3 linked regions of the Coturnix japonica genome follow. The protein of the gene in region 1 binds, or shares a complex with, the protein of each later gene. Links are inferred from orthologs where the notes say so. Each region holds a gene or a part of one and is shown in the gene's direction. Other genes may lie near its edges.

Region 1 (4,224 bases):
TATGCTTCATTTTGGGAGATGTCAGATTTTGAGTATATAAGAAGGCTGTATCTCTTCCTTTCCTTCTTACTGTAGTCACATTTCTGGTTTTGTCTATCAAGTTTTGCTCCTCTACTGGCACTAAGTGGTTATTGTGGGCTTTGGGGCGAGGGTGGGGGAGGGAGGGTAGGGATGTTCTTGTACCTAAACAGCATTTTTCTTTAATGCCTCTGTTACCACCTCATATGATAACTGATTGCTTCCAGTGTTAATAAATGAGCAGGAGGATGAGCAAACTACAGTAGAGACTGTTTGGTTTCCAGTTTACTCGAAGAGCATTATTTAACTGAAAAAGCAATAAGAACTCGCAGTGGTCTTCTGATGTTTCGTGTTAATGTTTTTTATTTACTGGTTTGGAGATTATATTTGATTTGATGTGGGTATTCTGATGGAATATTGCAGGTGTAAACTCTTGCATTTCAGCATTCCTGGCAGATGAGCAATTTGATAATGACCTAAGGTTGTTCAGTTCAGTCAGACCTTTTTAGGTCCCACCTTCGCTGTTCAAACCACTGGTTATCAATGTGTTTTCTAGTGTTGACACTTCTTCTTTATAAATAAATTGAGAATGAGGTATGCATCTCAATTGGTACTGTCCATTTTATTTATACGTGGATGGCTAAGTACATAGGGATGTGGTTTAGTGGCAGTATCAGGTGGTTGGTGGACGGTTGGTTTAGATAGTCTTGAAGGTCTTTTCCAGCATTAAGGTTTCTGTGATGCAGTGAGCTGTGAGAACACGCGTTATCTACCAGAACAGGCGTTTGAAACCTTGGAGAAGTGTCTGTGCTTGTTTGTTACTGATGTTTGCATAAAAACTTACAAACATTTTGACCATTTGGAATTGAAATGCTTCATCTGTTTACACGGAATATCCTGTACGCCCGGTTCTGTGTGTTGTTGCTGTGCTGTGGCCGAGCAGTGCTGGTACGGGCTGTGTCGCTGTGTTGTGCTGCCCTTGGCTTCTGGCTCCGGGCTCCGGAGTGAAGTGACCGGTGCCTGCGCTCAGCAGGTGCTGCCATGGCGGCACAGTGTGTGCGGAGCCGGCAGCGCGCACTGTACGCGGTTACAATGGCGGTGCTTACATTGGCTCTTGTGGCAGCGGCCGTGCCGGTGCGGGACGCGGCTGTGGGCGGGGCTGTGCTGACAGGCCGGCACGGGGCGGCGGCATCCCCGCGGTAATTGTGAGGGGAGGGTGGCAGCGCAGCCCGACGGGCCCGGCCCGCTGCGCCGGTACCGCCCCGACGGACGGAGGCGCCGCTGCCGCCCGCTGCCGCCCGCTGCCGCCCGCTGCCGCCCGCTGCCGCCCGCTGCCGCCCGCTGCCGCCCGCTGCCGCCCGCTGCCGCCCGCGCTCCTTCTGTCCCCGCTCCCAGTCCGCGGCAGCAGGGCACCGCCCCGGAAGGGCTCCTCGCGCCGCCAGCACTTCCGGGGCAGCGCCATCAGCACGGCGGCCGCCATGACGTCGCTCCGCGCTTTCACCTGCGACGACCTGTTCCGCTTCAACAACATGTGAGTGAGCCCCGGCCCCGGTAACACAGCGTGTGTGTGAGCCCCGGTAACACAGCGTGTGTGTGAGCCCNCCCGGTAACACAGCGTGTGTGTGAGCCCCGGTAACACAGCGTGTGTGTGAGCCCCGGTAACACAGCGTGTGAGTGAGCCCCGGTAACACAGCGTGTGTGTGAGCCCCGGTAACACAGCGTGTGAGTGAGCCCCGGTAACACAGCGTGCGAGTGAGCCCCGGTAACACAGTGTGTGAGTGAGCCCCGGTAACACAGAGTGTGTGTGAGCCCCGGTAACACAGCGTGTGAGTGAGCCCCGGTAACACAGCGTGTGTGTGTGTGAGCCCCGGTAACACAGCGCGTGTGTGAGCCCCGTCCCCGCTGGCGCACACACACACACACACACACACACACACACACACACCCCGTTGAGCCCCGTTCCCGGGCGGTCGTTCCGTGCTGCCGCTGATCGCCGCTTTCTCCCCGCAGCAACCTGGACCCGCTGACCGAGACCGTATCCTTCCCGTGCGCCCGGACGGGGGGAGGCGGGGGGGGGCGCCGGCCGTGCCGCTGTCGTGCTCCTTAACGGCGGTTCGCAGTACGGCATCCCCTTCTACCTGCAGTACCTGGCGCACTGGCCCGAGTACTTCATCGTGGCGGAGGCACCGGGCGGGGAGCTCATGGGTTACAGTGAGTGCTGGCGGGGTGGGCCGGGTCGGTGCTGTCGGTATCGGTGCTGTCAGTGTCAGGGTATCGGTGCTGTCGGTATCGGTGCTGTCATTGTCAGGGTATCGGTGCTGTCGGTATCGGTGCTGTCAGTGTCAGGGTATCGGTGCTGTCAGTATCGGTGTATCGGTGCTGCCGGTATCGGTGCTGTCGGTATCGGTGCTGTCGGTATCGGTGCTGTCGGTATCGGTGCTGTCGGTATCGGTGCTGCCGTCGGGCAGTGTTGGCAGCGGAGGCGTCGTGCTGGGCCCGTCCCAGCAGAGCTCCATACCCGGCCAGCAGTGCGCCCTGCCGGGTACGCGTCCATGTGCCGGTGGAGCTGCGCCGTGTGAGCCGCAGTCGCACAGAGCGGCTGAACCGTAACGATGTAGATACACCCGGTTCAGCCGCGGTCGTTGCAGCTGTTTATTATCACCCCGATGTGTGACGGTGCTGATGGAGGCGCTGCCGTGCTGACGCTGTGTGTGTTTCAGTCATGGGTAAAGCAGAAGGATCCGTGGCTCGGGAGGAGTGGCACGGGCACGTCACTGCGCTCTCCGTGGCACCGGAATTCCGGCGGCTGGGCCTGGCTGCCAAACTGATGGAACTGCTGGAGGAGATCTCAGAGAAGTGAATATTACACTCGTTTCACACTGATCTTTTTGACTGTTCTGCCTATAGGTCCCTGCCCTTGCTTTAGGTATATCATAAACATGAAGCACACCCAGAATCCTCCATTAACTAGTGCCCTGATTTCCTTTAGTGACAGGAACAGAATGATGGATGTTCTTTGGTAGCTTAAAATATTTTGATGTCTATGAAAACCAACTTCCCAGCACAAATAGGAAGTAGCAAAGATGCTGTATAAAATGTCCTTCCCTTAGTAGGAAGGGAGCTTCGTAAAACATCACCTGTTTGCTTTTTGAAGTAGCTGGTCCGTAAGTTAATGCAACTGAAATGCACCTGAAGTATAGTGTTAAAAAAAAGTGAATGCTTTACAGAAATAAAGCTTGTGTGGGTGTTTAGTTTCTCCTGTTCTTCCTGTTAGTAATTCTGATGTCACTGTCGGTCATTTGACCATCACCATTACTTCAGATTTGTTCCTTGTTCAAGGAGCACATCTGTTACTGTTGTGAATGATGTCTGCTGAGTGCACTGCCACGTCAGGCTGTTTCTTGGTCTGAATACAGGTTGGCAGTTCTTAATTGGCGGTTTGTTCACCTGCTCGTCCTTACCGTGTTTTATTCTTTTTTTTCAAAGAAAAGGTGGATTTTTCGTTGATCTCTTTGTGAGAGTATCCAATCAGGTTGCAGTAAATATGTATAAGCAACTGGGCTACAGCGTGTACCGGACAGTGTTAGAGTACTACTCTGCTAGCAATGGGGAGCCAGATGAAGATGCTTATGGTAAGTGCTTGTTCTGCCTCAAGTTGAATGGGAAGGTTCTGATGCTGAGCGTTCCAAGAGTTGTTTCTATGCTTTTTTTGTTTGATTTTTAGTGTGAAAAAATGTAGTTGGTTGTTGTTGAATGGAAATTTATTTACTCCTGTAGACAGGTTTGTTTCCTGCTGAGCTTTACATTGTTTTAATCCTGCAGTTCACAGATCTTATAGCATCTGTGGTAAATTAAATTCGAGACAGTTAACAAGTGGAAAGATACCTTATAGGTAAGATTAAATAACATAGTTACTTACCTAATTCTTCTTGTTAAAGTATGTTCCTGCAAAGCGTCCAGGCCTATCCCTAATGTTATTAGGGAAGATAATAGCCCTGCTCTTTTATGGCTCCCTCTCCCCCTTGGTAACAGGGACTTGAAATGTTATTGTCCCAGATGTCCTGACTAAATCATGACAGGAGTTAACAGACAATAGTGACAGAGATTTTTCAATTCAAAGGGTAGAGGACACGATCATTTCAAATATATTGTGGGTACCCCGTTAACTAAACTGAAGCAACTGTCGTTTGCTATTTTTGGATGTTT
Region 2 (4,275 bases), on another chromosome or scaffold:
AAGCTACGCCATTATCAGTAAACACATGACCAATGCTGGAACTTCTAAAGAGAAACAGCTTATCTAAGAGACACAACTGCCTCCTCAACACGTACATACTGACTGTTTTTATGTCCTTAACGCCTAAAAACATGTGTCGAGAACAGCTTTGAATCACATCCTCAGTGTCTACATCACTGCAAATCAAGAGTTTGTATTTACTGGAGTGCCGTGGTAGCTGCTCGGCTGCCTGGTAACTTAGGAACTCGAGTAATGGTTGGGAAAACTGCTTTATAACACATTAATACTTGGGGGGCGGGGATAGGGGGGAGAGAAAAACCCAAACGTTTCTAGAGAGCGCTGTCTGTTGAATTACGCCTTCTAACACTTTGTAGCCCCCCAAAGCGATGTTATCACCCACCCCACCGCCAGATCCCGGTCCTTACCAGTTACCGCACAGCTGGGTCTGCTCCTCCATGACTGCAGCCATGGCCGCGTTCCTCCCGGGAACCGAAAGCGATGCTTACACGGGCAGTTTCGCTTCTGCTCGCTGCGAGCTTCTGCGGAGCCGCCCCCACTGGCTGTACACTCAGCAGCCGCCCCGGAGCGCTGCCCCAATGAACTGCCCGGTACGGCCGTTCACACTCAGCGATCCGCCCCGGGACACCGCGCTTCAGCGGCGGCCAACGGCTCCTTCTCTCAGCTCCGGGCTGTGGATTGGGGCCGGGACAGGCCACGCTTCGTATAGACAGCAAAGAAAGCCCTGCTTACCGCAGCGACACAGGGAGACGAAACAGCCGCGATACAAGTGCCCCAGCAGGGGTTAACACCAGAACGGCCCCGCTCTCCGCACTCAGCCACCGGTACCGGGCCCGGCCCCGCGCTTCCTACCGGTCTCCTTGCGCCCGCCCCCGAGGCACGCCGCCAGCTGACTGGATGCGGTGGGTGCCGCTCACCGGCCAAACGGCCCCTCCGCCCCCTCGGCACCGATTGGCCGGCGCAGACGTCACCGGGCAGCGGCTCCGGGGTGTGATGTGAGAGCCGAGTTGTGTCTGGTTGTGTTTCCTTCTTACACTGAGGGCAGTGATGCACAGGGTGCACAGAGAGGTGGAGGTGCCCCATCCCTGCAGGCACCCATGGTCAGGGGATGGGGCTGTGAGCACTGATGGAGCTGTGGGTGTCCCTGAGCACTGCAGGCCTTTAAGAGCCCTTAACAACTCAAACCGTTCTATGAACAGAATAAAATCAGTTTGACCCGTCAGCGTTATACGTTGGTGATGTCGAGGTGAACATAAAGCAAACGAAGCCGGACGGTACCTTCAGACACAACACAGTATCTTCAGCTCTAACACATTCTGGCCCATCTGTGAGCTATAGGAATACAAACACGTCCCCAAACCCATCACTATCGCCGCACTATCCCCATCCCCGCCCTAAGGCTCCCCGCAGCCATGTCACATCGCAGCTGGGCGGAGCGCTGCTCCCTTTCCCCCGCCCCCGGCTCGGCCCGGCCCTGCGGCTGCGCAGTGCGGTTGTGCGCTCTCATCATGGCGGCGCGGGGCCATGTGCAGGACCCCAACGACCGGCGCCTGCGGCCCATTTACGGTACGGTGCGCGGGGCTCCTTCCCTGCCGGGCCCGGCCCGGCGTGTCTCGCCGTGCCGCCGCCCCATGGAGCTGAGCGGACACACGGGGCTGCGCTGTGTGGCGGGCAGCGAGCAGGCCCGCTGTGTGCCGCCAGGCCGCCCCTTCCGCCCGGCGCTGCGGCCTCCCGCCCCGCGGTGCCGGGGCTCCCTGCTCCGTGCCGGGTGTCGCCGTTCCCCGTTTGATTTCGTAGCGGAGCCGTTCGGTCCCATGCCTGTCCCTGCGTGGGGAGTTGGGGTTACGGGTCGGTTTGTTCGAGTAACGAAAACAAACGAGCGGTCGCGGATGCTTTAAAGTTACGTGCGGAGCGGCACGGACTGATTAGTTTGTTAGGGAAATGAATTGGATTATGAACCAAGTTGAGAGGAGCGGGAGTGTTGGGAAAGCGCTGGGGTGAGCTGCCCCAAAACGTTTCCAGGGATGTTGCATGCAGCTGAGATTGCTTAAGAAATTGTTAACAAGTTTCTGTGTGTCTGCAAGTAGAGAGAGAAAAATGCGATTCCCCGGGCTACGGTGTCGTTCCTGCTCTGAAAATGTGAAATGGATCGTAATTCACACAACGGGCACGTTTCCTTTCTGTTCCTCTCCCTGTAAAGGAGCTGCCGCTGCCTTGGGGTGCACCTGGTAAACGTGGTGTGATTACCACGTTTATTAGCATCCAGTAATTTTTGCTATAAACTATGTAATGTCTAGTCTGAAACTGATTGAATAGATGTTAACCCAGGTGATACGTGTTTCCTTGCGTTGCTTTTGGAGTACGGCTGTTGCTGATGTTGATCTAAACGTGCTTTCTGCTACTTCTGCTCCATGAGGTCAGAATTTGGTGCTGCCCCTTACCCAGGTAGAAGCTCAGCTTCATAGAGGCTGCAGGCAGGAGATGTGCAGAATGAGGTTCAAGTTTGCTCTTTTACTCTAAAAAGTGCCTTTCATTTCGCACCTTCTGCCTTGATTAGTTGGGGCTCATTGACAGATGTCTTTATTGTTCGACTTCATTTCTCTGCCTTCACCTGTAGCTTCACATGTTGCACTTCCATCCATCGAACATAACCACCTGCAGACCTGTAGCCAGCATAGAACTAAATGTTTTTTTTCCTGTAGCTGAGATTTCTTTAGGAGTTGCCAAATGTTTTGGCTTCCAACAAACTTATTCCTTGTTGCAAAATATAATCTTTTTATTGTGCAGTTTAGAGAGGCTTGTGGTTCATTTGATTTACTTCAGCAGGCCTATAGCAGAGATGCTATCAGTGAGTTGCTGTTACAGCCCCAAGGCAGGCAGTGCAGGCTGGCAGGTAATTTGTGTGCAAGTGGAAGTTATAACATGGATCCTTAAACCAAGAAACATCTGCCTGTATGTGGAGAGATCGCTGGGGTGTTGTGTGCAGAATATTTGAAACCCCTTCACTGATGAGTCTGTGCTGAAGCTTTAAGGTTAAAGGTGATGCACAGGTTCCTGTAGGTTACCTGTAACTCGTGTAAAGGCGCCGTGTTACAGGTTGAGGTGGTCGGAATATCTGATACAGCAACATCTTGTTTTGGTTGGTTGGGGCAGGCTGCCTGGTTTGAGGTTTTGTCTGCGTGGTCTCAGGAGTCCAATTAGTTCGACTTTAAATCTGCACCACTTGGCTGATGGAAACAAACGTTAAAGCTGCAGAGTATAAATCTCATTAGTATAGATGCACATTTTGTACAACGTACCGAGGAATCACTGAAGGTCACCTCTTGACTCATTAAGAGTTCTATCTCATAATGAGAGCTGTGATCTTGAAGAGAAAAGGATGTGTAATGTAATTGCAGTATTCCAGCATTAGATCTGCTTGTAATTTGTTAGGGGAGAGGCCAGAACGGTGCAGGCAGACCCTTCCCTTGTTGGCACGTCAGGATATCTCCTCTTCTTTGTCTTTAGAACTGCTCTGGTTAAGGCACAGTGGTGTTCTGTTAGGGGATGGTCTTGTTCTGCCTCTTAGTATAGAGCAAGTGAACAAGTAATTCATCTCACTTAATGCTTTGATAGATTGCAAGCATGTTGTTTCTGACCAACAGCCCATTAAAAGTCATTGGAAATGTCCCAACAGCACACCCAATTAATTCTTACTTTTCCTGAAGCAAAGAGTGAAATCTCAGTTTCTAGTGAAGGGCTGTTGCTGCAGAAGCGCTCTGTCATACAGCTCTTTTGTTGGTGTGATGACCTTTGTGGAGTAATTACAGAAGCTTGTTTGTTTGGATGACAAGAACTGGTACAGCAAGATGAATGCTTAGTCTACAAAGTGACACATTTCCTGACTGTTTGGTTTAGGAATAATTGCACAGGAAAAATGCATTTTGCACTGCTGCCCTAACAGCGCGTAGCCCTCGGTGAAATTAGAGGTAGCTTTCTAGAATGGTTTTGTGTTCTGTTTTAATGCTGTGTGTGTTCTTCTTACGCAGATTACCTTGATAATGGCAATAATAAAATGGCGATCCAGCAGGCAGATAAACTGCTCAAAAAACACAAGGATCTTCACTGTGCAAAGGTAAGTGGGGTCGTTCACTGACTTGGTGGTGGAGCATCGTCGGAGACTTGCAGTGCTCTGCTGTGCTCTGTGTGGTCTGATCTTCCAGAGACCACGGTGTGTTCAGAGCACTCTGGAACATCTGACTATTCTGATCCATGCAA
Region 3 (4,134 bases), on another chromosome or scaffold:
CCTCATCTGAAGTCTCTGATCACCTACTCATCTATTGTCTCTGAGTAGAAATGCACTGCTGCTGTGTTGGCTTCCGTACCACTTGAGCTGTTGCTTTTCAGAGTATGGATTTACTTAAGGTCCCAGGGGGACAGAGCTGCTTTCCACTCAAACACTGACTATCTAGCCAGACAAAGTCATTAATTTGAGATGTTATTGTTGCTCATGTAAAATGTGTTATTTCTGCAATTTCAACCTTGACTGCAAGTAAAGTGTAGCTCATGATGAATAGGATGTGCAATTGCTGGATCATTTGCTAAGGATTTTCTGGAGAGCAGAATTATGAAGGAATGGTTTGTGTTCTCAGTCAGCACCTTCTCACACAAAAAAATACATTTCACCAAATGTTTGCTTGGTTAAATGTAGTAGTGGAATGAATCCCAAGGAAGATTACCAAGCGGTAAAGAAACATTAAGAAACCTGAAAAAGAGAAAACTCTGCACTGTGTGCTCAGAATGGAAATAAAAGCAGGAACCTGTCTGCTGTCTGCCCAGTATGATGGATGGAAGGTGCTTTGTGCAGCTCACATCCCTGTGTCTCATCTGTACCAAGCTCTGCTTCTCCTTTGGAGCGCAATGACAGAACAAACTGTTTTTGCAAGGTTTTGCAGGATCTGTACAGCATGCTGACTGATGTACTGATGCTGAAGGTCCATCTGTTCTAATACCTTGTTTTCCACTGAATTTGGCTTTTCATGCCTACGCTCTGCAGCAATGCAGAGAAGTGACATTGCCTTCCCTTTCTGGGGAAAAGTGACTTGAGTGTAACAGACCAAGAGGGGAAATGCAGTGGCTCTGGTCTGTACAATGGAGACCAACAGGTGTGAGGCTGGGCTTCTCATCCTTGTTTAGACAAAGATTTTATTATATTATGCTGTGGGGTTAAGGATCTTGTTTTACCTACAAGAGTATTACCTGCCATCCTTAAAAATGAGCTGGGAGCGTGAATCCTGAGAGCGTTCACCTCAAGTCACTCCGGCCTGAAGGCTTACGAGAGGAAGATAAGTAACCAAGAGCTCGGGGGCGTTTTCTGAGCCGTGGGTGAAGCGAAACAGGTGTGCTGAATTCACTAGCAACAGCTTGCTCGCATTGCTTCTGAGTGCTGTGATTCAGCCGCCGGGGCGAACAGCGGACAGGTGGTGCCACGAGATGACCAGGACCTCAGCCTCCCCTCTTCTTTCCTATCCTTACCTCCCACCCCCACGTCACGACGCATACCCGACCCGCAGCACATTCCCACCCAGAAGGGGATGGAGGCTGGGAGCCGCCCCACCGCCCCCGGCCCCTCCTCCTACCGCCCCCGCCCCGCACCCTGCCTCTCCTTCACACTCGCTGCCTGCCTTGCTGCCGTCGGGAGAGTTGGCGATGTGCTGAGAAGGGGCAGCTCCCATCAGGTCTCTCTGCGCTTCGCCCTCCTCCTGCCCTGCCTCCCCCCGCCTTCCTGCAGCGGCGGACCCAGCGGTAGGTGGTGGGGAGTGCATGAGAGGCTCTGCTCGCCCTGGGGCTGGGCAGCCGCAGGGGTGGGTGTGCGGACAGGTGCATTTGTCGCTCAACGTGTTCTCCTTTGGGCACGAAGGAGGAAGGGAACGGGAGGGGAAACCAGCGGGCGCCGCGGCTGCCGTGTGAGGGAGCCGCTGGGTGCTTATGTGCTCACGTAGCCCTGCCCTTCTCCTCGGATAGTCCGTATAGATACAGACACATACATGTGGGAGAGCCCTGCGCGTTCTTTCTTCCTTCCTCCACAGGTGCCCATTCTTTTATTTAGACTGAGCCACGTAGCCATGTACTGCTTTCTTCCCTCGCTCTGCACCCAGGTGCTCCCACACCTGCTCTCGGTGCTGCCTACGGTGTCAGTGGGGCACGGATTCTGCCCTTCTGATTGCCACGGGTTAGTAGCAAGCTCCCCACTGTCTTCCTAGACATCCCTTCCTCCGGCGGAGGGAAAGAACTAGCAGGCAGTGCATCTTCTGGGAGGGGGAGGGGGAGAAAGGGAAGGGGCTGTCGGCGACGGGATTGTGAAAGGGGTGTCTTGCTGGCTTTAATTACTGTCTTTGTGGCCTAATTGTAGCGTAGGGCTGTATAACTGCCACAGAACCTACTTGCTAGCTGTAGTGTGGTGTTATTAGTGTAGCATGTTCTTGCCTTTGCTTTTTTTTTTTTTTCCTCCTTAGTCTTGATGCATGTGCAGGATCCCTTTTGAAAGCTCAAGTGCTGGCAGAGCAATATGGGCTGCATGCAAAATGCTGGGTTGCTGGAAAGCAGTTTTGTGTTTGCTCAAGTCCTTCTGGAACATTAGTGGTTCTTCAAACAACAATGAGCGAACGTTTCTCATTTAGAAGAAGCGTTTGTAAAGTTGTTAGTTTTTAAGTTTTTCCTTTGAATGAGAAGGTGGAGCATCAGCGAATGATGGGATTAGATCTTGTAGTTAATAGACAAGAAACTGTCCTTTGGAGGAGATGGTGGTAGGCAAGGAATGGATTTGTTCCTTTCAGTGAGTGCAACTTCAAATGAGAACTGCGTTATCAGTGACCTTTCTGTACGTTTCTGTGGGAACTCCTGGGCCTTTCAGGGACTACCTTAGCCATACTGCTTAACTTGAACTTGCTCTGTGGTAGCATGTGAGATGTAAAGGTGAGTTGTGTAATGGAGCTCCTTTGTTTTCTAGTTATTTAACTGTTTTTTGTCTATCTGAAATACTGAAAGCGATCCTAGATACAGAGAGGTATGTGTATATTGCTAATACGGATGTAGATGGAAGTTATATAATATGTGAGTATAAATAATGTATTTCAAAAGTATTTTGATGTGCAATCAGTTTTAATAAAATTTTCTGGCAAAAAAAAAAAAAAAAAGCTGAGAACCATTATTTAAAGTGTGTTTGGTATTGTTTTTTTTTTTTTCTAGTGTTGTGTGAAGAAATCCTTCAGCCATGGATGTCTTCATGAAGGGACTTAACAAGGCAAAGGAAGGGGTTGTAGCAGCAGCAGAAAAAACCAAGCAGGGAGTGGCAGAAGCAGCAGGAAAGACGAAAGAGGGAGTCCTCTATGTGGGTAGGTGGGCAGTGAGGTTGTGCTGCTGATTGGTGTACCCTGACAGCCCCGCTCATCTGAAAGAAAGAGCTGAATTCTCTCTCTTCTCTGAAATATGTAATCACTCATAGGAGAGGATTAACTGCAAAGTAAACATGATGAGATTTGAACTCTCCTGAGCATAGGGTCTTTGACGATTGTTGCTTGTTTGTTTGATTGCTGTTTGTTGTGTGTCATGTATTTTTTTTTGGTTCTTGTCACTGTGTGTGCTGGTCATATGGGGCTGCATTTGTAATGTTGTACAGGATAAACTTGCCTGTTGGAAGAGGCCTTACAATGCAAGTTACTGACTGGCCCTATTTAAGATGCTTGCTATATGGGAGGTAAATTCACAGAATCCTGTAGAATGCCTGAGTTTTAAGCAGGATTTTTAAAGAAAAAACTTGAGATGTTGGTTCTGGAACTGAATCTAAGACGTGCCAATGTCTTTTCCTGGAGTAGAAGGAAGATAACTGTACACCCCATAGAAAGGAGCTTGTTTTCTTTCTTCACTAAATAAAGGTCCTCAGCAGTAACATTTTGAATGGTGAGGTGTCAGCTCCTTGTTTTTCAAAGTTAACCTAATGTTCTATACTTACTATTGCATATCCTCAGCAGCTATTTTCCATGGCTACTCAAAGAAGAACCTTTACGGTCACTGAGACAGTGGAGAAAGTGGGAAGCAGATGTTAGTTGACTTACCCAGACTATGCGAGTACTTTGCATGGAACCCGGGGAAAGATTCTTTTCAAATCTCACATTGGACTGTTGACGACACAATCATCGTCTTCACTTAGAAACTACCAGGCCTTAAAGTACTGTCTCATAAATGCCATAGTGAAAAATGAACAGGAAAAAAGCTGCCAAGAACATATGAATAGGTCATTTAAACTGGAGGAATTCCATTTTATTTTTTTTAAGTTAATTTCAGTTGCATGGTAGTAGAATAGGAAGGAAAATACACTCTTTTCTGTAGATTCGTTCTTTTTTTATGATTTGGCAGCAAGTCAATTCTGTAATGGATGCTG

The links. Proteins that work in one complex are often made in the same cells at the same time.
Region 2: the proteins of NAA20 (region 1) and NAA25 are in contact, whole or in part, in a cryo-EM structure (PDB 7STX), measured with the Homo sapiens proteins. The link is inferred for Coturnix japonica from reciprocal best matches to the Homo sapiens genes NAA20 and NAA25. Residues at the interface, in NP_057184.1 of Homo sapiens: Thr2, Thr3, Leu4, Arg5, Thr8, Cys9, Asp10, Leu12, Phe13, Phe15, Asn16, Asn19, Leu20, Pro22, Leu23, Thr26, Tyr27, Gly28, Ile29, Pro30, Leu33, Gln34, Leu36, Ala37, His38, Pro40, Glu41, Pro49, Glu52, Met54; in NP_079229.2 of Homo sapiens: Ser226, Glu227, Ile228, Asn259, Asp261, Asp262, Trp263, Gln264, Arg318, Arg321, Leu325, Lys362, Pro363, Cys364, Thr367, Asp368, Val371, Leu457, Thr459, Glu460, Leu461, Ser504, Ala506, Leu510, Leu532, Asp533, Lys535, His536, Ile537, Gln538.
Region 3: the proteins of NAA20 (region 1) and SNCA are in contact, whole or in part, in a cryo-EM structure (PDB 7STX), measured with the Homo sapiens proteins. The link is inferred for Coturnix japonica from reciprocal best matches to the Homo sapiens genes NAA20 and SNCA. Residues at the interface, in NP_057184.1 of Homo sapiens: Leu23, Thr24, Glu25, Tyr27, His73, Val74, Thr75, Ala76, Leu77, Ser78, Leu110, Phe111, Tyr137, Tyr138, Ser139, Ala140; in NP_000336.1 of Homo sapiens: Met1, Asp2, Val3, Phe4.

What each region holds. Positions count from the first base shown.
Region 1 is NW_015439649.1:44,833-49,056, reverse strand, and holds the start of NAA20 (N-alpha-acetyltransferase 20), read left to right. Parts: upstream 1-1,422; 5' UTR 1,423-1,496; coding exon 1,497-1,549; intron 1,550-2,028; coding exon 2,029-2,053; intron 2,054-2,138; coding exon 2,139-2,229; intron 2,230-2,738; coding exon 2,739-2,874; intron 2,875-3,504; coding exon 3,505-3,650; intron 3,651-4,224. UniProt on the Homo sapiens protein: Catalytic subunit of the NatB complex which catalyzes acetylation of the N-terminal methionine residues of peptides beginning with Met-Asp, Met-Glu, Met-Asn and Met-Gln. Proteins with cell cycle functions are overrepresented in the pool of NatB substrates.
Region 2 is NC_029530.1:5,452,084-5,456,358, reverse strand, and holds the start of NAA25 (N-alpha-acetyltransferase 25, NatB auxiliary subunit), read left to right. Parts: upstream 1-1,472; 5' UTR 1,473-1,526; coding exon 1,527-1,584; intron 1,585-4,046; coding exon 4,047-4,132; intron 4,133-4,275. Other genes in the region: TRAFD1 (TRAF-type zinc finger domain-containing protein 1), read right to left, coding at 426-469. UniProt on the Homo sapiens protein: Non-catalytic subunit of the NatB complex which catalyzes acetylation of the N-terminal methionine residues of peptides beginning with Met-Asp, Met-Glu, Met-Asn and Met-Gln. May play a role in normal cell-cycle progression.
Region 3 is NC_029519.1:31,290,064-31,294,197, reverse strand, and holds the start of SNCA (alpha-synuclein), read left to right. Parts: upstream 1-1,331; 5' UTR 1,332-1,499; intron 1,500-1,762; exon of another isoform or gene 1,763-1,783; intron 1,784-2,942; 5' UTR 2,943-2,967; coding exon 2,968-3,088; intron 3,089-4,134. UniProt on the Homo sapiens protein: Neuronal protein that plays several roles in synaptic activity such as regulation of synaptic vesicle trafficking and subsequent neurotransmitter release.